3 linked regions of the Arabidopsis thaliana genome follow. The protein of the gene in region 1 purifies or fractionates together with the protein of each later gene. This does not show direct contact. Each region holds a gene or a part of one and is shown in the gene's direction. Other genes may lie near its edges.

Region 1 (8,749 bases):
GATGAAGAAGTTGAAGAAAATGATGACATAGATGAGGCAAGTACTGGTGCTGAACTCGAACCTGGAGAGTTTGAAGTAGAAAAGTTCCTTGGCATCATGTTTGGAGATCCTCAAGGCACAGGGGAAAAGACACTTCAACTTATGGTATTGTTTCCTGAACTATAAATCCGAATTCTCAATTAGTTACAAACAAATTTCATCCTTTTTAAGAGATAATTCAAACATTTTTATCTTTTATTTCATCTCAGGTAAGGTGGAAGGGATACAATTCTAGTTATGACACATGGGAACCTTACTCTGGCTTAGGGTAACTTTTCTATATTAACCTAGTTTTGTATTGATAATTTCTTTGATAATTACTTTATATTTCTCCAGCAACTGCAAGGAGAAGCTGAAGGAGTACGTGATAGATGGGTTTAAGTCTCATCTCTTACCACTTCCGGTAAGATAATATCTTTGCTTTATATGATCTTTTTAATATAAAGCTATTTACAATCTTAACTAAATGTTTGATGATTTTTCAGGGTACTGTCTACACAGTGTGCGGTGGGCCCCCTTGCCAAGGGATCAGTGGGTATAACCGGTATAGAAACAATGAAGCACCGCTTGAAGATCAGAAGAACCAGCAACTTTTGGTGTTTTTAGACATCATTGACTTCCTCAAGCCAAACTATGTGCTGATGGAAAATGTTGTAGACCTTCTTAGGTTTTCAAAGGGTTTCCTGGCACGTCATGCTGTAGCTAGCTTTGTTGCGATGAATTACCAGACGCGGTTGGGCATGATGGCTGCTGGATCTTATGGGCTCCCTCAGCTTAGAAACAGGGTTTTTTTATGGGCTGCACAACCATCAGAGGTAAATATATGTTACAGAATATTTACCACTAATATATTGTCTTTTGAGGAACATGATCTTTATTGCTCTCTCTTGATTTGTTTGACAGAAACTTCCCCCTTATCCCCTCCCAACACATGAAGTTGCTAAAAAGTTCAACACACCTAAAGAATTCAAAGCAAGTGTGGACAGTTGTACATTTAAATTTAATAGACTCTTATAAGTTATAACTGCATTGCTTATTCATCTGTTATAAATGTAGGATTTACAAGTTGGACGTATTCAAATGGAGTTCCTTAAATTGGACAACGCTCTTACGCTGGCTGATGCTATTAGTGATCTGCCACCGGTGTGTATCTAAACTTCAGAACTGCCATTGATGATTATGTTACAATATATCTGTCTGATCACTGCTCTCTTAGTGCTGCAGGTGACAAATTATGTGGCAAATGATGTAATGGATTATAATGATGCTGCTCCTAAGACAGAGTTTGAGAACTTTATTAGCCTCAAAAGATCTGGTGAGCATTTTAAACTCGTAAATTTGGTAGGTACCACTAATCCAATACTAACGTATCTTTCTTGTTTCAGAGACACTTTTACCCGCATTTGGTGGAGATCCGACACGCAGGTTGTTTGATCACCAACCCCTCGTATTAGGAGATGATGACTTGGAAAGAGTTTCCTACATACCAAAACAGAAGGTGCGACATTTTTAAAGTACTTGCTTCAAGCATTCAATGTATAATCATTTCTTGTTCATGTCATTGTATTCTTATTGTTACAGGGGGCAAACTATCGCGACATGCCTGGTGTTTTAGTTCACAACAACAAAGCGGAAATTAATCCTAGGTTTCGAGCAAAGTTGAAATCTGGAAAAAATGTGGTATAAAATAAACCACTCGCAACCTTATCATTTTTCTGCTCTAGTTTCTTTTTGCACCTTCTATATGACATGTCTTTTGGTTTTCACAGGTCCCTGCTTATGCAATTTCATTCATAAAAGGAAAATCAAAAAAGTGAGTTTCTCCAACTAATATGCTTCTTGTGGATCCTCTTTCCATAACGTAAGAATGTTAAATTCATTAAAAGTAACACATCTGTTATCTGAATTTCAGGCCGTTTGGTAGACTTTGGGGTGATGAAATCGTTAACACTGTTGTGACAAGGGCTGAACCTCACAACCAGGTAAGCCCTTTTGCTTTCATTTCCCATGTGTCTGGGTACGTTCCACTTAGAATTCTCTAGTGGCTGGTTTATTAAAACTGGTTGATGCAGTGTGTAATCCATCCAATGCAAAACCGTGTGTTGTCTGTTCGTGAGAATGCGAGATTACAGGGGTTCCCTGATTGTTACAAGCTCTGTGGAACAATTAAGGAAAAGTAAGTCCTTGGTTCTTGCTGCTTTTCTATCTATGTATATGATTGTTTTTAAACTGGAGATCCTAATGTATGTAAAAACTGGGTTTGAATCTAAATTTTGTAGGTACATCCAGGTTGGGAATGCTGTGGCAGTTCCTGTAGGGGTTGCATTAGGATATGCCTTTGGTATGGCGAGTCAAGGACTGACGGATGATGAACCAGTAATCAAGCTGCCATTCAAGTATCCCGAATGCATGCAGGCAAAGGATCAAATCTGATTGACAGTCTCCATCAAGTCGTCATGATGAAACTATCTTTAGGAATCATACTTCATTTTCTAGACTTTCTTTTAATTTTTTGGGTTAGCAAGAGCTATATGCTCAAACAATGGCGGCTTAAACTGTCTAGCTCTTTCTTGTTGGTTTATCTTTGACTTTATAATCATTTGGAACCATTTTATTTCTTATGATTTTTAATCTCAAGATTTCAAATTCTATTGCGTAGACTTCAATCCTACGTGATGCCATCCAACAAGAATTAAGACCAAGCAAAAGACAGACAAAACCTGTTATTGAGCATCCGAGGTGCTAGGTACGTCCGTGATCTCTCGACGAACATTGGTTCGATTTTGCGTAATTCAGTTGCCACCGACCGACCGAAACTCTGGTCAATGATCACCACTTACCAGCTTTTATTAGTGTTATTCATTCATTCGCAAAAGCTAAGTAAATTCGAAGGCAGTTAGGCCCACAAGCCCATATAATGGTGAAAGATTTGGTTCACCCAAATAATGTCCCCACTCCTTCGGTTGGGCTTTTACGTTATAATATTCGGCCCAAATTTGATATCTCATAACAGAGCAAATTTTTCACATAGAAGAAGCAGAGAAACCAATTGATCTACTTTTTTTTTTTTTTTGTTTCTTCCTCTTCATCAGGCTTGTTCTTCGATTCCCTCACTTAAAGAAGGGTTTCGAATTTGCTCGAAAGATTGAAAGGAAAAAAAGAAAGAGGTGAACCATTCTCAACATAAATTTGTTGTTTAGGAGATGTAAGAATGATAATTTCTTGGATCTAATCGCGTTCAGAAAGTGAGAAAGTTTTAGGATTCATAAATATCTTTGTGTTCTTCTCCACCCTAATAAACACATTGATACAGAGATGGAGGATGAACATGTTATGATTGATCTTGATGACGTTTCAAGGCACATTGACATTCCAGCAGATGCTCCTTATACTTTATCAGTTAGTTCAATCCAATTCTTTCATTTCACTTTTTGCATTCTCTTGTTTTATAAGTTTGGTTTTGTTTGGTTCTCATAGGGTTTGGATACTTTGAATCCGGTGTTGACCATAGATGGCAAAATGAAGCTGGTAATTCTCTTACTTGCAACTAGTACAATTTTCCAAGTTCAGTTACTCTTTTTGCTTAAACCATTCTTAATCGTGTTAGATTTGATGATCTCTCAGGTAGGAGAATATATAGCAACGATTGGTACATGCCTTGCTTTCTCTGACAAAGGTTAGTTTCACTTTTCCTCTTTATTATCAAACATGGAAACACATGTTATTGTTTCAAGTAATTATTCTGTCCCTTCAAGATGCTGATTTGGGGTTGCGGTTTCTTCATTTGTCTGTTTGCACAAGGTGATAACCAGACGCCACAGAAGAAGACAGTTGAACCTGTTGCCAAACTCCACAAGATTCTCAAGTTTAGGTTAGCACCATTAGACAACGAAGATGGAGTAACAAAAACAACCAATTTGTAAAAGTTTTTCTCTTGTTCAAGTCATTGGAAACCTGACTTTTCTTCAAAGATCATATTAAAAAAAAGAACTATAACAATAACCGACAGATTATATATGTAGCTAAGGCACATGCAGCATCTTCCTTTGTTGGCCTCTTGAAAGTAGCAATCAAACTAAGACCAAACCAAAAGGTAACTAAACGATTCACAACTTCAACGTACGTTTTCATGATTTGTCCTTCTGATGATGTCAATAAAATAAAAACTGAATTGAATCAACCAGTGATGGAGAAATTATGCATCCCATGTAATTAAAAGAAACAAAATCACACAAGATATTATAAAATAAAACTAGGTATATTCAAAGGCAGTAAGGCCTTACATAAGCCCATAAATATTGGGCTTTTTTAGCCCAATAGTATTATGAGTCTGGCCCGGAGCGTAATTAGGTCTGGTGGCAAAGTTGTTAATAACACAAAAGAGATTTTAGTTAATAAACCCTAGGCTTCTCAAATCGGCCATTGCTACCAACTTCGACTTGGAATTCTTTCAGCCGCCGTCCCAATTGCTTTGCCGCCACCGGTAAATTTGTTCCCCCTTTTCCGTTCTTCTTATCTTGTTCATTCTGTTGGTGTCCCTATAGCCTCACTTTCTTATAGGGTTGAGTTCAGTCTCTGTTTATAAACTTTTTTCGCAAAAAAATTCAATCTGACAATCTGTTTTGTGTTGTAGAAGCAAAGAGTAGAGAGATAATGGCTGAGGAAGAAGCTAAGGGTTTGGATTACATACCGGAGATAGTACTGAAGAAGAGGAAGAACAGAGATGAGCTTGCCTTTATCAGGAAGAAGCAACTTGAGTTGGGTAATTCCGGCAAGAAGAAGAAGAAAGTCTCTGATATCAAACGTCCTGAAGATTTTGTTCATGAGTTCAGGGCTAAGGTACACTTCTTTTTTTCCAGATTCTCTGAAAAACTTTTGCTTTGTCTTTTTCCATTCGTTTTACTGCCTCAAGTTCTGATTTTTGCTTCTTGACTTTTGTCTACACCTTAGAAGAACTTGTTTTTGCTTATTCTTTGAGTTAAATTAAAGCTATACATCAACCTTTATGATTAGGTTTTGTCACTTATCTCTTAGACTGTAACTTTTCTACAGATAATTTTGTGTTTCTCCTTTGAGATTTCTCCCTAGTTTTGCAAGGTTGTGCTTAGGACTTGTTGTTTCTTCTGTCAATCCTGCATTGTTCTCTGTAATTTAACTGTTCCCTTTTTGCTAATTTTATCCCTACTTAAGGAAGTAGATATGATCCGGATGAAGCAAAGAGTAAAGAGGCCAAAGTCATCTCCTCCACCAGTTAAATCTGACCTGGTTTTCATCATACGCATTCAAGGGTATTTGATATTCTCCAATTAGCTTTGTTTTCCCCCTGGAGTTTTAATCTTTATCTCTGCCTGTTTCTTATCCTTGCCTTTTCTTTCTGGTGACCAGCAAGAATGATATGCACCCAAAGACCAAGAGGATTCTTAACAATTTGCAACTAAAGAGCGTCTTTACTGGTGTATTTGCTAAAGCAACTGACAGTTTGTTCCAAAAGCTTCTCAAAGTGCAGCCTTATGTCACTTATGGGTACGTAGAGACAATCAATCCTCTTTCAATATTTCCTTGTTACTCGATTTCCATGCTGTTTCTCTATTCTCGTATGAGCTAACCGATGTTTACGATTCTTGAAGATACCCGAATGATAAGAGTGTTAAGGACCTTATATACAAAAAGGGATGCACAATCATTGAGGGAAATCCTGTTCCTCTTACCGACAACAATATAATCGAACAGGTAAAATTTCCTACTCTTAAAAGTATAGGAGCTTATTCCAGATAATAACCATGCTGTTCTTAATCGTTTCCACTTTTGTTACCTTAGGCTCTAGGAGAACACAAAATCTTGGGCATAGAAGACCTTGTGAATGAGATAGCAAGAGTCGGAGATCATTTCAGAGAAGTTATGAGATTCTTGGGACCCTTGAAACTCAACAAGCCTGTGGCTGATGTTTTGCACCGGAAGAAACAAGTTTTCAGCGAAGGAGGAGATACCGGAAACCGCGAAGATAAGATCAATGATCTCATCAGCAAAATGAATTAGAAGCAGCAATCGTTGTAATCGCTAGCTACTTACTATATTTTCCTTAAAAGATCTGTACGAGGCTAAAAACCAACCATTTTGATGAAACACTTGCAATTTTGGTTAAAGGGCATTCCAAATTTTATAAGCATCGTCGACTTCAGATATTATATTATACACATATATTTATGTGATGTAAACAGAGTAATATAGAAGCGAGTGTTTTTCATCTTCTGAAGCTCCTCCTCTCTTTGGGTGCTTCATCTTCCTCTGGCAACTTGACAATTGTGTATGTACCTGCTCCGATTAACGCTCCAAGAATGGGGGCAGTGAGGTAAACCCAAATAGCTCTGTAATTGTTTGCTGCAATGGCTGGACCCAGTGTTCTTACAGGGTTCATCGAAGCAGAAGTTGCAGGTCTGTTGGACACAACATCATGATCAGTAACATGTATTATTATGTACAAGAACTGAATTCAAGAAATGATGGTTTATTTACCCAGCTATAAGTATGTTAAGCATGACCGTTGCTCCTACGGCAATTCCCGCCAACTCTCCCACCTGTAATCTTGTGATTAGTTTTCATTGACGTCCAAAATTTCAAGACTCTTCAAAAACGTTTTTTATAAGTAATTTACAGCTCTCGTGTCGGTGGCTACGGCTGTGACAACGAACATGAGGTTGAAGCTGATAATGAATTCCAAGGCGAAAGCTTGGCTGAGACCCACCGTCGGCACCGTCACGCCACCGCTCATCGTTGGTTCAAACACTGCTTTCAGTGCAAACGCCGCACTCACGGAGGCCATCACCTGAGCTCCGATATACACCGGCACCTAACATAAATTTAGACACCAACATTATTATTTTTATAACAATTATATAGAACCCCTTTTATATGATCAGATTTTATATATACTTTTATTACCCATGTTAAAATTCAATTCATAATACAACATGCATGTGCATGTCTATAGATTTCATGTGGTTCTCTCAGTAACATCCAAAAATGTGTTAAAACAAATAAGATTAAACTACTGACGTGTTTCCAAGGGAAGTGTTTGAGAGCAGCAAAGGCAATGGTTACAGCCGGATTGAGATGTGCCCCGGAGATGTGACCGGTCGATAATATAACGATCATAACCGCCAAACCAGCCGAGGCGGCGCAACCAATAAGCGTCTCAGCTCCATCTGTCTTCTGGTTCACGATCGCCGTCGCTGTTCCGGCGAATATCAGGATCAATGTCCCAACAAACTCTGCTCCCAACTTTACAAGCACATATATGTACTGGTTCAATGCTCAGTGAATTGGAAACATGATTTATATGGAGTGTACTTGTAATGAGAATGTGTACATATGTACCTTGCGGTAGAGGGAAACGTTAGGGGGAGGGAGAGAGCAAGTGACCGGAGGGAGTCTTCCATCTTCAAGAGCCCATTCATTGTCAACACTGAAACATTTGCAGCTTTTGAGAAGTGACTTTGGTGTGTATCTACCATTGTGTCCATTCCTCTTCCCTTCGAATCCTCCAAAGAGCGGCGCTCCTGGAGTCCCCGGGGTTGTCGCCGGCGTTGAGGGCGTGGATGGAATTTCCTCATGATCCATGTCGAGGGTAGAGATAGATGAGATCTAATTAATTTGAGGATATATGTTTTTGCTATGATTGTTTTTATGTGATGTAGAACTAAGGGATGCGTAGGGTACGGTATTTATAGAGGAAGGCATGAGAGTTGACTTATGAGTGAAGGACCCAAAATAGATGATTGATATTTGGTTGGAGTGAGGAGTAAGTGGGTTGGTAATCCTTAGTTTTAATGCATGTGTCCTAAGGAAGACTCTTTACATAACATGAAATGTTGCTATCTTTATGAGAATGGGTCGTGTATTGTATCTTTCATATTTCTATTTACATGATACATGTATCGTGTACTAAAGAAGCTTTTGAGATGGAGCAATAATTGTGGATCCTTTTCTCTATCGATCGACATACATTATTTTGCATAATATGTTCTTCTCCATGAGAATGGAACTCTTGCGTTTGTGTGGTTGTAAGTTGTTAGCAAAGAGAATGATGATAAAAGCGATGGTTCTTGACCTTTCCTTGTCACAGAATGTGACTCACAGTCGACTCTCTTTTTGTAAGGAAATAAATGATTTGTTTTAGTGTATAATCCTTGCATGTATTAACACCAATTATCGATGCAGATGGTTGTATAGTTTGCAAGTATAAAACATGATTCCTCCCCTCGGAAATTCAAGGCTTTATTAAGCCTTTAATCTCCCCATGCAAAAACTATCCGCAAAATATGCAATTATGATAAGATGTATATTATTATCACGTTCCAAGTGAGGCTCAAATTAAATATTCTTGTTTACTAACAAAAGATAGGTGAAAACAAGATTTTACATGTCAAATAAAAGATTTCTGTGAGATGTATATTCTTATCATTAAAATTTAAAATCACTTTTGAGTTCATCTCTTTATTTAATTCTTTCGAATGACTCTTGCATATAATTTGTATACTTTTAACGTTATTCCTTTTCTATCTATAAAAAAACGAAGAATCTGTGATGACCCGTCACAACTCTTTAGAATCAAAATTAAAACACTAATTTATTGCTTTGTCCTCACAATCGTATGACTATGAATTGAAGTGTCTTGGAACAAGATTTAATTATAATTATTTCTCTAAGGTAT
Region 2 (7,724 bases), on another chromosome or scaffold:
TAGTTATATTATGTGGTGCTCAAGATTTATGAAAGATAATAACGCAAGATCTTTGCCTATTGTCAAATTTTTATATAATTTCCATAAGAGATTGTACCGCCAGTTATGTAGGCCAATGTTCACAATAAAAAACGAAATGACAGCAACCTCATTTGGTAACATAAGGATGACTGTGAACACATGTTTTTTTGTCTTATAAAACAAACACTTGCCTGGCAATGTCATTGTTTAGATCAGGAGTATTCATACACCTTCCATTTGTTCTCTTACTTTCCGATTCCGCTGCTCCTGAGTTACCACTGCACATTAAAAAATGAAAACATCAGCCTTCTTTATGCATTACAACCATTTTTTTCAGCCAAAACGTTCTTGTAAGCCAGACAATAATGACTAAGAAAATGCCATGAACTTTTGCAGCTACAAAAATCATATATGCTTTTGAAGCAAACTCATCAATTGCAGTACATATTGAATTCACCTCATCTGATAGTTAAGCCCAATACTCTCACAACGTAACTCATAGCTCTTGCATTGTAGTTGACTAGAATGGACTTTAATGGTTACCATATTTCACCTTTTATCAATAAAGATAATTGACAGAATTTGAGGGAACATGACGACACCCAAGTTTTAAGAGAGAAGTAGCATGGAATCTATATACAACTACTTAGCATTGAAAAAGTTTATCAAAACTACACCACTGTTGAAAGGAAATATATATTGACTAACAATTTAACCTGAAATCAGCAGGTGGCGGTTCCTTGATGACCTTTCTCCGCAAAACTTCAGTAGCTATGTTTGGCTCGCCTAGTGAACGACTGAGGAAACAACAAAAGTTACTTTTATACGTGCATAACGCTTTTGCTTGCCCTATAGAGAAACATAAGATATATATGGTAGCAAATATACAAACATAATCAAGAAAACTAAACAAGTATGCTTATCACCTTAAACCGGATTGTAATGCAGATGGTGGACCAGACCGTTCCATGGGACTGTTTGGCTCCAATGGTGAAGCACAAGGGTTATTGTCTACAAAATCAGGCTGCCATGCCATTGAGATATGAGCCATATAAACTGCCTTGGGTGAGAAGGGTTTAAGCTGACCAGGACATCGCTTAAGGTCGACTAGCATTTCAACATTATTGAGCTCAACCACAGCAGAGATATGATTATATGAGTCGATGCTAGCAGAAAATCTCAGATCAGTAGGGAAACCCTGATCAAGAAATTTAACCGAAATGCCAAGTTATCAGAACCAATCAATGACATGAGGAAATTGGAGTTATAACCAAAGCCACTGATCACGTTTTTATACAGTACATACCATTACAAGCTTACTGTCAAGACCAACAGCATCAGCTAGAACTTTAAAGAGGATTGCTCGTGCACGACAAGAACCATGCTTGATTTGTCCTAGCAGGGTAAACCCTTGAACGTCAAAATATTGCAGCGTTCTTGCCGGACTCTGCAGAGTTTTTCTTTTATATATATTTGCCACCTGCCATAAGAAGGAAAAATCCAATTCAGATTTCCCGATAATCTAAAAGAATATAATGAGGTTGCTGAAATAATGTGATGTGCCTTAAGAGTCTAATAAATGGGATTACAGTTATTTGTTTTCTTATTCAGAACCAAATATTTATTGCATGCAGCGATAAGATAAAGTAACAAAATGACATGCATTGTCGCCAAAGTTAGTTCACTAGAAAATGAGATGATAAAAAGATGCTCGCCCATTCTTACCAGTCCAGCAATTTTCTTAATAACTTTATCGGAGTCCAATCCTGTGACAAGTTTGATGACAAACTCCTTTATCAAAACAAGCTGTATATCGTTCTTAAGATCTACAAAAATCGCATCAGCCTTAAGACGATCTTCCCCCAGCGCATTAATTTCTTCCAATGTAGGAATGCTTTTAAAATGCATCAATCTCTCAACCTGTTGAAAAATTCAACAACATAATAAGATAAGAAAATGATTGTTGACAAACAGCAGCACGTAACCAAGCATTAATAAAGCTAACTGAAATATTATTGGACAAAGATAATACCAACCTAAAGATAGCTTACCGGGATCACAGTGTAAAAACCACTTGGGATCGGGTCTGATAAGGACCCAGTACTCCAAAAAATATTCGATGCTTCATAACTTGACACCCCATCTTGATCAAGATTAGAGGTTTCTGCTAGTGATCCCTGACATACAGGCACGTATATCTTCTCAACTTCTGAAGGCCTCAAGGTAGGACTTGGTGGATTTGGTTCTGATGGTCCAGCATCATCAGTATTAGAGGTTTCTACTAGTGATCCCTGACATACAGGCTCGGATGTCTCCTCAACTTCTGAAGGCCTCAAGGTAGGACTTGGAGGTCTTGGTTCTGATGGTCCAGCAGCATCTCTTGCCTCTACCACAGTCATCTCCCTAAGGTCTAAAATCACAAGAGTGTCTCCTTAGCCCATAGGTTTCACTCAAGAAAAGACGAATAACGTAGGTACCAAAATATTAAGAATCAAACTTCGCTTACCAGTAGCTTGGACCTCTAGGTCAGCTAACCTACATAGGCAAAAGCAGAATGGTTAAGTAAATATAGACTCGGATATACTGTTGCAGAAATAAATGTTTCAGTGACATACTAAGTTGCATTCCATATATTCCTTATCAAAGCATTTAACTAGTAGACAATTCTCAAAGACTGGCTACAAAACTTATTCAAAGTGTTGGACTTTTCGATACTTATAGAAGAGATTCACTTCAATAATTCAGCCTCAGAACTTACGACAAGATCACGGAACCATTTGATTCCACCACTGATCCTCGGTGACCTCTGCAACACTTAGCTCCCATTTTCAAGTCCTCGGTTGCAAAATTTCAAATTCCTGCATAGATTTCAAAACCCATTTCAAAATAAAATCCCACCAACTTCGATGGATTCAAACACACAAGAACCCATAAACCAAACGGTCTAAAATCATATAAGAAAAGGCTAAAGAGCAAAAGAAGAATAAGGGTTTATGAAAAAACTCACAGAAAGCAGATAAACGTCCTTCCAATTCCAAAATCCAGCAATCAATCTGCTTAAATCGCACTGCGAAACAAGAGAAAGACAGAAGAGAGATCTGAAGATTGCCATGATCAAGCAACAAAGAGCTAAACGTACACACATATAGAGTATGTGTACGTATATGCATAGAGATTTGCAACAGAGATTCATGAGATAAAAATTGGATTTTGGAGGTTTTGAAAGTTTTGATTTTGATGGCGGAAGAAGCAAAAACACAGTCAAGGGGTTTTACGAAAGTGACGAAGCAAGTCACGTGCGAGGGATTATGAGTCACGTGCCGAGAAGCACTTATTCACAGGATATATTTCATAAGTACAATTTTGTCCTCTACCTACATGGATTGTTTTTGTCATCCATTTCTATCTCAAAGATCTTCGAAACAAGATACATATTTGATAGTCATTACACTATGAATGACAATATATTATCAGATTGTTCATGCATATGAGATAGATTTCTTAAAAGAGGATGATGTAAATGAACAAGAATCTAACAAGAGTTTGATGAAAAATGAGGATGAACTTTTTTTGAAAAGAGTATAATAGAAAATCAACGAATGTATTCAATCTTCGAAAAAGATTGCAATAAGAATGACTCAAGAGAATTCATCCTACTTCAATATTGATGTTGATTATGATACTTACACGTCAACAACAACAGATCATCAAAGTGTTTGGCAGTGCGGCTATTTCTTTGTTTGTCAAAAACCTGACATTTCTATCATTTCATGTATTCTCTCAATGAACTCAATAAGATATCACACATTTTGGTTTATAAAGAAATCCCTCCATTTATATAGTACTTACATAAAGAAAAGTGTTTGAGAATTTTGTTTTGGTTATCTAAATATTGACATTTTCAATTAATGTGATTCTCACTTTTTTCTTAAAGAAATATTTATTTTTAAAGTTTGAAGAGCTATAAGAGGAATTAGACATTTTGCGAAGGGAATAAAAACTTGAAAATAAAGAAAACAATTTTATTAATAATTATATTGTCCAGGTGTATATACTTTATTTCTTTGTATATAAAAATTAGCATCAAATATATTTGGTAAGTACGTTTTAGACAAGTATGGTAAATGACAGCCAAGTACTACATGACTCATATTTTATATAATTAATTTCATATTTTAAATTTATATCTATATCTACATTAACATGAAATAAAAAAGATTTCATGTATTGATAAAATAAGCTAGTTTGTCATAATTTCCTATATCTTAAATCTTACCAATTACCATCTTCTAAAAGTTTCTCTTACCACACAAAAAAAAAATCTTCAAAACATTTCTCCTATGCAAAACTTGAGGACAATTTATAAAACAACATAGTTAAGCCCATTAACTAATATTATGGGCCTTAAGAAACGCAAAACAAACTCGTTTAATAGAAAAGATTTCTCCGATGCAAAAACTTGAGGACAATTTATGAAAACAATATAATTAAGCCCATTAACCAATATTATGGGCCTTAAGAAACCCAAAACAAACTCGTTTAAAAGTCATCGTCCTCCGTAAACCCTGAATCTTCCTTCACAGAACCCTAAATAACTTTTCTTTTCCTCCGACCACCGCAGCTCAGCCGCAACCGCCGCCACCACTTATGTCAAGAGTAAGTCCCAAGACTGTGGACGATGCAGTTAAGGCTCTGGTCAAAGAGGGAAACGAAAAATCAAGGACGGAGAAGCCACAGCTTCTAGAAGAAGACGGATTCTTTTACCTAGTCGTAGCCCTAAAGAAGATTCCACAGAGGAATTTTACGAACGCTTATCGTATTCCTCTCCCGCATCCGCTAATTAACACTACCGAAGACTCACCGGAGCTCTGTCTCATCATCGACGACAGACCTGAAAGTGGTCTCACCGAGGAAGATGCGAAGAAGAATATCAAATCAGAGAACATACCAATCACGAAAGTTGTTAAGCTTTCGAAGCTGAAATCGGATTATGGATCATTCGAATCGAAACGGAAGCTTTGTGATTCATACGATATGTTTTTCTCAGATCGGAGAGTGATTCCTATGTTGCCAAAATTGATTGGGAAGAAGTTCTTTCAGAGCAAGAAGACTCCTGTGGCTATTGATTTGAAGCATATGAATTGGAAAGAGCAGATTGAGAAAGCTTGTGGTGCTGCTATGTTCTTCATGAGGACTGGGTCTTGTAGTGCGATCAAAGTTGCGAAATTGTCCATGGAAAGCGATGATATCGTTGAGAATGTGACGGCGACTTTGAATGGTGTTGTTGATGTTTTGCCTAGTAGGTGGAAATACATAAGATCTTTGCATTTGAAGTTATCTGAGAGTTTATCTTTGCCATTATATCAGACAGTGCCTTATTTGCAGCTCAAGATTGATCCTTTAGGTGTTGAAGAAGTTAAGAATGGTGAAGGATTAGCTAAAAGTGATGTTGATGATAGTAGTAGTAAGAGTGTGAAGACAAAGAAGAAGAATGGAAAGATTCATGAGGTTAGATATATGGATAGTAATGTATCTGAGACTCTTGGTGATGATGAATTCGATAGGAGTGTTGGAGAAGATGAGGTTGCTGATGATCTCAATGCTTCTGGAGATAAGAAGAAGAGGAAGAAGATGAGTAGTAGTAAGTCTGCAGTGAGTGGGAAACCAGACATTGTGAAGAGTAAGAATGGGCAAAAGTCGAAAAAGCTAAAGAAGGACATTGATGAGTCTGGTGGTGGATTCAAAGCTAAGACTAAGAGGAGGTGAACCAAGAAAAGAAGATTTTATATTAATGTCGTTATAACTAAGTATTCTATTCTTTCTGCTTGAGTGATTTTTTTGGATACTGATTATGACTTTGTCTTATTATGGTATCATCATCATGATTCTTATATATTTAGGACTTTTATTATCGTTTACTATTTCATCAAACTAGTGACTTGCCATGTAGTTGATTTGGTGGTTTTGACGAGGAAACATATTATTACATGTGTTTTGTTGCATTCCAGAATTGGTGTTGTATTGAATGCAGAGAAACCGCTAAGGATAAGTACTTGCAGGATCTGACTCAAGCCTGATCCAGATCCTGGCTAAGTACTCATCCCATGAAACGGCTAAGGAAAACAAAAGTCTCTACTCTTGAATCTCTTTTAAAGTTAAACTTCATCTCTCTAGTATGTTGGTTACGGTTCTGATGATGTCGACAACAGAGAGAGCGAGAGCATTGTGTTGATATCATCTGTTGGTTTTTGCCTGCAATTTCCAAACTCAGGCAACTGTATCCCACCTCCGGACATTGATTTCAATCGTTTGACTGATGATACTTCTTCATCTCGGACTCTTTTCTCATTGTTCTTCTTCCTAATCTGCATAAGATTTCACCAAGATTACAGTACCTTCCTCGGTTTTTAACAAAACTGTTCCTCTATAACTCTTAAAACGAAAGTAGGTAGTTACCTCGAGTAGAGGCAGAGTCTTGTTCTCTGTGCTGTCTCGGTCATTTCTGCATAACCCGCTAAACCAGCTCGAAGGTCGCATAAGAAAGTTACCTCCAAGATTTGTAACGACCGCGTCTTGATTGAGTACCCTACAGAAAAGAATGCAATTTTAACTTCCTTGGTCGGATCGGATATACAAATGTGAAACATTTTAGTAACTGGAACTTGTTTCTTTGTATGACCTCGAAGGAACGGTTTTAGAGTTATAGGCATGTCTTAAATCGCTATGAGGGATACATCGAGAGTCGATCATGTCCATCAAATAGCTTCTTTGTCCACTCATGAAAGCTCCAAATCCTGTTCAAAAGTCATTTCCATCAATTATGAAACCCAGTGAAGGAATGGTAAATGTCTGCGGATCAAAACTAACTTACCAGGGCGAGAAGACGGCTCGAGCTTCTTACTTCGATACATCTTGAAATCAGAAACATGAAAACATTGAAAAAGATGAACAAAACTGAGATAATCTTAGAATAACAGACGATGAAGATTACCTGTAAATGACTCTTGACATGTGCAATACTCAATCCTTTTAGATTCATCATCTCAAGAACCAATTTCGGCGTCGCTCCTTTAAAATCATACAACAATTACATTACAAAGCTGAGAGAGAGAAAGAGAGAAAGAGACGTGGAGAGAGAGAACAAGAATCCTACTGTCTGGACCGCCTAGTCGTTGGACAGCACGAACGAAGGAGAGATGAAGATCAGGCGTCCAACGAAGCCGAGGCATGTTGGACCGAATATACTGTCTAACGTTATTCGTGATTTGGTCTTCGTCTTCCACTGATGACTCTTCTTCATTGTTCTTCTCCACTGTTTCTTCTCTGTTCAGGTCAAGCCACGTGGAGCATTTTCCCGGCGAAGATCTCCCGGCCATGTCTCTCCGGCGAGAGTGTCTTTAGCTAGCTCTCGAGATCAATTACTCAAAAACAAACAAAAAAAAACCCATGAGAGAGGTTAAATCTCTATGATAATTTCGGCGTTGGCTTCAATAATACTAGCTATAATCATATATATACACTTATAAGTATATAATATAGTCTTATTTGTCGTAAACTATAGTATATAATTATATAGATATATAAAATTCTTATCTATGTCATGCATGTTTACGTATAATTGTATGTTTTTTTTTAATGGAAAAGTGTGTTGGAATCTTCCGTTTGGTGAAATCACATTAGTTATTAGGTTTTGCTTCATTTTT
Region 3 (7,701 bases), on another chromosome or scaffold:
AGGAGAGTGCAAAATCATCAGCTTCTGTAAGAGTGGTGATGCTGCTAACTTCTTGTTCTTCTCCCTGTATTACCTTCTGCTTCTAAAAGGAAAAAGACAAGATTTTCTCAGAGACTGGTAAGCCGGAAAAGCATTCGATATTATAGAATAGTGAAGCTATAGTTTATGGAAACTAACCTGGACTTTCTGGCTGTTAAAGAATGAAGTGCAGTCAGAAACAGATTCACTCTCTGTTAAAACTCTATCAAGACTGCTTTGAGTCAATCCGCTATATTTGGAAGGCGATGAAATCATCGCATTCGCTCTATCTTTTGAAATGGAACTCAAGGGCTCTTCTTGGATCAAGCTAGAGCTAGATGATTCAATCTTCGTTGTCAATTCCCTGAGCTTCTGCTCCAAAAGCGCATTTAAAGAATCACCACCTATCACATTGAACCTTATAGCAGAGTCTGCATCTTGTTTGGTTCCTTGTGAATGAGGAGATGATAAACCTTTGATCGAAGATGAGAAAGTGAAAGATATCACATCCATGTCCCTTTTCTGATCATCTTTACTAGTACTCGAGTCGCCATCAATGGAAATGTTACATTTTATCGACTTTTCACCCCTTTTGATCCGCTTATCTTCATAAATTCCAGATTCTTGCACTCCATTCCGCGGTTTTTTGCTTCGAGGAAGACTCTTTTTGCGGGATAAAGGTAAAGAAGTGGGTTTTTCTGCTGATGACATAGTAAATCCTGAGCTCTTCGATATAGATCCACTTTCCACAAGAACCTTATTTACTACTTTGTTCATTACTCTCCTGGATTGCTGATTGTCTCTGCAGTTCTGCTTCTGGTTGTTTTGCCTAAGCACATTCTTTCCGGTACTCAAGGAAGATCCTTTGCTACTGTTTTGGCTTTTAACCGCCCTATTCTTAGCTTCCACTTTCTCCTTTTGTCCCGAAGACATCCTCTTGTTGCCACTTGAAGACATTGATAAGCTGTCTTGCTTCTGATTACTGCTGACTTTTGCTTGCGCAGCGAAAGAAGGTGGCTTCACTTCACCACCTTTCAAAGCATCATAACTGTTTTTCCCCAATACTGTAGTTTTCTTCTCGTTTTGATCTCCTCTTAGGTACCTACTGTTCCGAGTATCATTAGAGATTTGAGGAACTGAAGTTGACGCTTTCTGCGCAGCTTCAAGTTTCTCTTTCAAATCTCGAATCCTCAATGGAACTGGAGAAGAAGAATCAGACGATGACACCATCCGTGTTCTTGCAATCATCCGTGGACTTTGCTCGATCATTCTTGAAGCAGCTTCCATTACATAAGCAGGGTTCCTAGATGGAACAAATCCAGGATTCCTTATTGGAGACAAGAGCTTATTGTGAGTGACAGAGATCGGTTTAGCTGATCTCGGGGGTAAAGTTTCGGTTTGAAACCGCTCAATCATCCGTTTACGCGGCCCTTTACTGGTTCTTGAATCCAAATGATCCCAAGAAACACCATCGAAGTCACTCTGACGATCAACATTAGCATCCCAAGTGTTTGCTTGGCGCGAGGATCTGAGAAAGTATGGATCAAGATCAGGATTAACCCGTGGTTCCAAAACGTTTGGTAGTGGTAAACCCTCTAAACCCATAAGCCTCGCTACCACACTTGCTCTAACCACATTTCCATCATCACTAGTAACAGATGAAGCACAACAGCTAGAGTCACTTCTCGGGTTGTAAGTTGGGTTCTTTACACTCTGATCAACTTCAAACTGTTGTAAACAGATCACACCAAAGAACACAAATAGTTCATGTCATTCAGTAAACTAACACAAAACAAAACATTGCATCAAACAAGGAAAATGGTGTTGAGTAAGAAAAGGCTTACAACAGAATGCGGCGTAATAGAGGGGTTTTGAACATTCTCTTTTGCTTGCTTAGATTCTTCTGTTTTAAAAGAAGAAACTTTAGATTATTAAACTTCATTACCTTAACTTATATATACAACAAAAGCTGGAAGACATACCAGAGAGTTGGGAGAGATTGGAAGAGAAAAGCTTCTTCCTGGATTTTCCATGCCAATCAAACAGATTTAGAAACGCTCCTCTTGGTCTTTTTCTCTCAACGACGTCCATCTTAATTTACCTATGGATCAAAACAATTGAATCAGTTTAATTTCAATGGAATGCACTTATAAGACGCTGGATCCCATCAAACAACAAGACCCCAGATAAAAAAGATCAAAACTTTTCCATTTTATTATAATGAATCACCCAATTTCAGCTGAAGGATATAGAGAATGTGATTGATATAGCAGAAGATTAAAGGAAATTAGATCAGGAATGAAATTTGATTACCTCTCAGTTTCTCAGGCTGCCAAAGATCTCATTTTTTACTTATGGATCCATCCATTAAGTGTAATTTGCAGAAACCCTATACCGAATTCAGCAAAATGAGAACCCAGACAGACACAGCTGAGAGATGTTTTGCAAATTGGATTGACCCAAATCGAAACAATGGTGGCTTTGGGAGATCTAGCCCTAAAGATCGACCAAAGCTCTCCACTTTTATCTCTCTCAGCTCACGAATCGCACTGTAGAACAAGAACAACGACCATGGAAGAAGATAAAAACACAAAATGAGATTTATCAAATCAGACAAACAAAACAAAGAAAATATTTGGGGGGTTTTGGAGGAATGCGTAAGATCAGGAAGGCTCAAAGCAGATTTGAGATTAGGGATTTGGGTAGTGAGCTAAGAGAAGTGAAGAAGCAGCAAGAGACGTTTTTAAAAAAATGAGAGAAGCTGAGTTTGAATTGAAATGACGACAGAGAGAGCCGTTGCAAAGAGAGAGAGAGAGAGAAAGACAGACAGAGACAAAGAGAGTTTTGAATTTAGGAAACTGAAAGCTCCCTCCTTTGAGCTATTAAAAGTGTTTCTTTTTTCTATACATAAAAGGAAAATCTTTTGTTTCAACAACTATTTTGGCTTTTATACATATAGCATGATCTCATCTACAAATATATATAGCTTGATGATGTTTTTTTTTTTTTTTTGTCACAAGCTTGATGATGTTTATATTTGGTATCCAATGCAGATGGAAATATATAGCTTGATGATGTTTATACATGTTTCAGTTCAGTTTGCAGTTTCAAACATAAGAGAATTTGAATTGGTTAGGGGACAAAAAAAACACATAATTTAAAAGAGGTCATAACGATTCAATTTTCAGGTGTAGAAAAATAAAGGCAAAGACTTTATTGTAAACAGTGCAATCACTGTATATATTAATATTCCATTTTGATTATTATAAAATTATTTCGTTGGGCATTACCACAATTCATATTTGTGTCCGTCTCACAAGGGCTCCACTTTCGTATAGTTTTGAATATTTGTAATATGCTGCATTCTATGATTCGAATTACTTAAAAGTTCAAATTTTTTTTGGACTCTTGATATTTCACAATCAGTTTTTTTTTTTAAAAACAGAATAAATGAGTAGAGGAAGTTGTTGTGGTTTGAGTTGCTTCGAAGTAGCGAAACCAAAGAGAGTAGAGTATATGAGAACGATGTCTGAACAATTCGATAAAATCCCTAGGAAGCTTTACACGCATGAAGACTTGAATCTCACAATGCAGAGCCGATAGTGAATTCATACTTTTCAAAGTTAAACTTCCGAAAATAAAATCAAATTAATAACATTTCAAAACTTTTAATCAGTAGTTTACTAGCTGTTACAAACCGAAATATTTTAATAAACAGAGAGAGAAAGTTAAAGAGACAATGACAAAACACAAACCAACATGGTTGAAAGGTTGACTCATATATATATATATATATATATATATATATATATATATATTGAGTATTTAATTTCTTATTTTTAATTCCAAAAATCATTATTTTAGATCAATAGTTTTTATTGATTTTTTTGTAAACTATTGAATAATAGAGAATTTTAAATTTTCCTAGATCCCTAATTCCAACATACTTATTTCTCTGTTGATTCTTTTTATCTCCAAAATCGACTTTAAAAGATTGATATTCAATAGTTTTAATCAAACAGTTTCTATTTTAAAAATCGTTGAAACCAAATCTCGTGGATTTCTAGATCTATAACTATTAATTCAAGAAGATTTAGATATTGAACTTTTGTTTCGGAAAGAAATAGATATAAAATTATTTCTTCGAGGACATATAGATCGTGCTCACAAATCAGATTCTATCTAGTATGATGTGTCGAGGAAATAGACTGTTTTCCGGAAGAGATAGTCGAAATTCGTATATGGGCCAATCTTTATAAGAAAATAACCTTTAGAAAAGTTACACTAGAAGAAAGTCCGGCCCATCTTTATAAGAAAACTATTATGGGCCAAAATAAAGGTAGGCCCATTAACCCAGGGAAATAATATATCAGTGATAAATCCTTCTTCTGTCCCCTTCCTCCTTAAACCCTAATCTCTGTACTCTCTCTTCCTCAATCCCTCCCATGACCACCGCAGTTTCGCCGCCGCCGCCGCAGGAGCAGCAACTTGTTCACGCTTCGCAGACTTCAAGAGTGAGTCCCAAGACAGTGGAGAGCGCCCTCAATGGTCTTATCAATTGGAGAAGCGACAAATCAAAGACAGAGAAGCCTCAACTTCTCGAAGAAGACGAGCTCGTCTACCTTTTCGTTACTTTGAAGAAGATTCCACAGAAGACCCGTACGAATGCTTACCGTATCCCTTTACCTCATCCTCTTATCAACCCGACGGTCGATTCGCCGGAGATTTGTCTCATCATCGACGACAGACCTAAAAGTGGTCTCACCAAAGATGATGCGATGAAGAAGATCAAATCTGAGAATATTCCAATCACCAAGGTTATTAAGCTTTCGAAACTGAAGAGTGATTACAAGGCGTTCGAAGCGAAGAGGAAACTCTGCGACTCTTACGACATGTTTTTCACTGATCGGAGGATCATTCCTCTGCTGCCGAGGGTGATTGGGAAGAAGTTCTTTACGAGCAAGAAGATTCCGGTGGCGCTTGATTTGAAGCACAGGAACTGGAAACATCAGATAGAGAAAGCTTGTGGATCTGCTATGTTCTTCATAAGGACTGGGACGTGTAGTGTCATTAAGGTTGGGAAATTGTCTATGGATATTTGTGAAATTACTGAGAATGTGATGGCGACATTGAATGGACTAGTTGAGTTCTTGCCTAATAAGTGGACGTACGTTAGGTCTTTGCATTTGAAGTTGTCTGAGAGTTTAGCTTTGCCTATATATCAGTCTGTTCCTGATTTGAAGCTTAAAATCGATGCTTTTGGGTCTGGAAAGAGTGTTGTTCAGGAGGAGAAGGAAGGTGAAGTTGAAGAAGTTGTTGCTGTTGATGGTGGAGAGAAGAGTGTTACAGGGAAGGGAAAGAAGAAGAAAGGTAGGATTCACGAGGTTAGGTATATGGATAGTAATGTAGCTGAGGTGCTTGATGAGGATGAGATTGGTGGTGACGAGGATAATAATGAGATTGTTGAGTCTGAGGAGAAGAAGATGAAGAAGAGGAAGAAGGAGGTAAGTGAAGTTGCAGAGAGTGAGAAGCCGATGAAGAAAGCTGCCAAAGGGAAGTTGAAACCTGATGTTGAGAAACCGATGAAGAAAGCTGCCAAAGGGAAGTCGAAACCCGATGTTGAGAAACCTATGCAGAAAGCTGCGGTCAAGGGGAAAGTTAAACCAGATGTTGTGAAGCTGGAGAAGAGCAAGGACGGCTTAAAGGCGAAAAAGACAACAATGGTTGCGAAAGACGAATCTGGTGGTGGATTGAAGCCGAAGAGAAAGAGTGTGCTTAGGAAATGAGGCAGAGGAAGGTCTTGAGTGTTTGCTTTTGAGTATGATTTATGTTTTATTTTCTATCGTAGTTCTTATTACATTTTTGAGCCATTTCATATCTTGTACTACTTCTATGAAACATTGAACTGGTGAATGTGGGTTTGATGGTTTTGTGGAGGAAACATACTACTGTTCACCTTTTAACTTTTTAAAGGTTTTTCTTTCTAAACAAAGACTATTTATCTGAATTTATTGCAATAAGCATTGATCAGGTTATGATGGTACTTGCATGATCTTGATCCCCATCTCTTAGTAAATGGCTCACCAAAGCTTTAACCATTTAAATCATATAGAGGTCTCTTAGAACAGTTATACCCAAAATCTGCATGAGTTTTTTTATTACTCGCAAGCCAGCACAGCACTTCAGGCTTCGTCTTTCAGTCATAAGAAGAATTAAAAGTTGATATGATCTAGAGAAGACATGAAATAAGGAAATGCAAAAGATCAATGGAAACAAAATTTATGATAACTAAATAGAACACTGTTTATGAGCAATTTTTTGTGTAGCTGCATATAAAAATAGGGGGAAAAAATTATAATATTAAACTAGTGAAGTAATCATAAAGTTGTATGTAGTAAACATTATCATACAACGACATAGGCTGGAACTTAATGTGGTCACAATTATGTAAGAACCTCGACCATTATGCAGCCAGCCTCTGAATGGTTTACCAATTATTCTCCTGATCATAAGCACCTTTCTCTTTCTGCTCTTTTTTAATATGTTTAATCCTTTTTGTATTTCTCATTTTCTAATCACTGGACCTCTGTACGGAACTCTCCATATCACAAAGTTATCTGGAGGTTGATACTCTTCAAGCCATGTCACATTTGAGATCACTTCTCCATTCATCACTTCAATCTCACCTGGTTTCACATATGATGTCATCAACAACATTGCCATAGTAACAAATGATAGTCTTAAACCAAATCTGTTTAGCAATACAGATAATGAGCATGTTCTATGAGAGTATGAGACCTTTTCTCTAATCAACAACCTAGTGGTTTAAACCATGATTCTTCCAAAATTGTTATGAAAGCTGTTACATTACGAAATATAGTAGCACTTTTAAGAAGTTATAAACTGGTATTTCGTGAAGTTTGTGATATTTTACCAGGTAAGTCTAGCATTGGGGATTTTCGGAAGTAGTTGCAGTGTCTGCCATGAGTAGAAGAGTATGGAGGAGATAAGATGTCGAAGATTGCACAATGAGTAATGGCTTTGAAACAATGAATGTTGCCACCGGTTGTTGGATATAGAGTGGTTGCTGGGCTAGGGGAAGTCATATCAATATCCTTGACCAGCTTCGCGGGTCTTGCTATGAGTAAAAGGGAACAACATATTACTCATTTTGAAATGATTCATATAGCACGGAAGTTATACTGGGGCAGTTTACAAGTCACTTTTTACCTTGTAATGGATCGTCTAGCTCTGATTGGTCAGGCTCAGCCCAATCATATGACTTAACGTGCATTGAACCATAAACAAGCTTGCTTAGCACTGTCATGCCTGGATGATTATGAAGTGGTATGATAGACCCAGGTGGCATGCAGAAAATTCCAATCTGACAAAATAATGATCAAAGCATAATAAGCAGACAAGTAAAGCAAGAATATTGCATTTCAGAACTTTGTTTAACTGCAGTAAACATGTGGAGCGTGTTGCTCCATGGCTTAGGCAAGGGCCATACCAGGAACCAAAATGATTAGTGATGATGAGAAATTTGGTTTCAACATGAGAAATCTAGCTTAGGTACTTCTACTTAACCTAAACTTTAATGCCTACCCACTTACTCTCAAGATTTCATAGCCAATTTCTGACTATATCGATGAAGGCAGACTCAAACTTTAAAAGGTGAAAACT

The links. The genes of interacting proteins can lie anywhere in the genome.
Region 2: the proteins of AT1G80750 (region 1) and AT2G42650 fractionate together in Arabidopsis thaliana (co-fractionation; one large-scale study listed by BioGRID). This does not show direct contact.
Region 3: the proteins of AT1G80750 (region 1) and AT3G58660 fractionate together in Arabidopsis thaliana (co-fractionation; one large-scale study listed by BioGRID). This does not show direct contact.

Annotation. Positions count from the first base shown.
Region 1 is NC_003070.9:30,344,360-30,353,108, forward strand, and holds AT1G80750 (Ribosomal protein L30/L7 family protein), read left to right. Parts: upstream 1-4,310; 5' UTR 4,311-4,522; intron 4,523-4,672; 5' UTR 4,673-4,692; coding exon 4,693-4,878; intron 4,879-5,229; coding exon 5,230-5,327; intron 5,328-5,424; coding exon 5,425-5,562; intron 5,563-5,666; coding exon 5,667-5,769; intron 5,770-5,856; coding exon 5,857-6,075; 3' UTR 6,076-6,205; downstream 6,206-8,749. Other genes in the region: CMT1 (chromomethylase 1), read left to right, coding at 1-144, 249-307, 376-442, 525-854, 943-1,011, 1,096-1,182, 1,264-1,354, 1,425-1,537 and 5 more; AT1G80745 (Transcription factor TFIIIC, tau55-related protein), read left to right, coding at 3,355-3,438, 3,517-3,567, 3,664-3,715, 3,841-3,962; NIP6;1 (NOD26-like intrinsic protein 6;1), read right to left, coding at 6,281-6,473, 6,553-6,614, 6,692-6,886, 7,093-7,317, 7,414-7,656.
Region 2 is NC_003071.7:17,760,862-17,768,585, forward strand, and holds AT2G42650 (Ribosomal protein L1p/L10e family), read left to right. Parts: upstream 1-4,316; 5' UTR 4,317-4,668; coding exon 4,669-5,787; 3' UTR 5,788-6,027; downstream 6,028-7,724. Other genes in the region: AT2G42640 (Mitogen activated protein kinase kinase kinase-like protein), read right to left, coding at 213-299, 738-818, 948-1,219, 1,328-1,501, 1,747-1,941, 2,073-2,431, 2,528-2,556, 2,780-2,847; AT2G42660 (Homeodomain-like superfamily protein), read right to left, coding at 6,204-6,386, 6,478-6,607, 6,701-6,815, 6,893-6,932, 7,013-7,089, 7,175-7,397.
Region 3 is NC_003074.8:21,697,111-21,704,811, forward strand, and holds AT3G58660 (Ribosomal protein L1p/L10e family), read left to right. Parts: upstream 1-4,423; 5' UTR 4,424-4,463; coding exon 4,464-5,804; 3' UTR 5,805-6,004; downstream 6,005-7,701. Other genes in the region: TRM7 (GPI-anchored adhesin-like protein), read right to left, coding at 1-82, 178-1,746, 1,863-1,921, 2,001-2,109; AT3G58670 (2-aminoethanethiol dioxygenase, putative (DUF1637)), read right to left, coding at 6,583-6,704, 6,953-7,156, 7,249-7,402.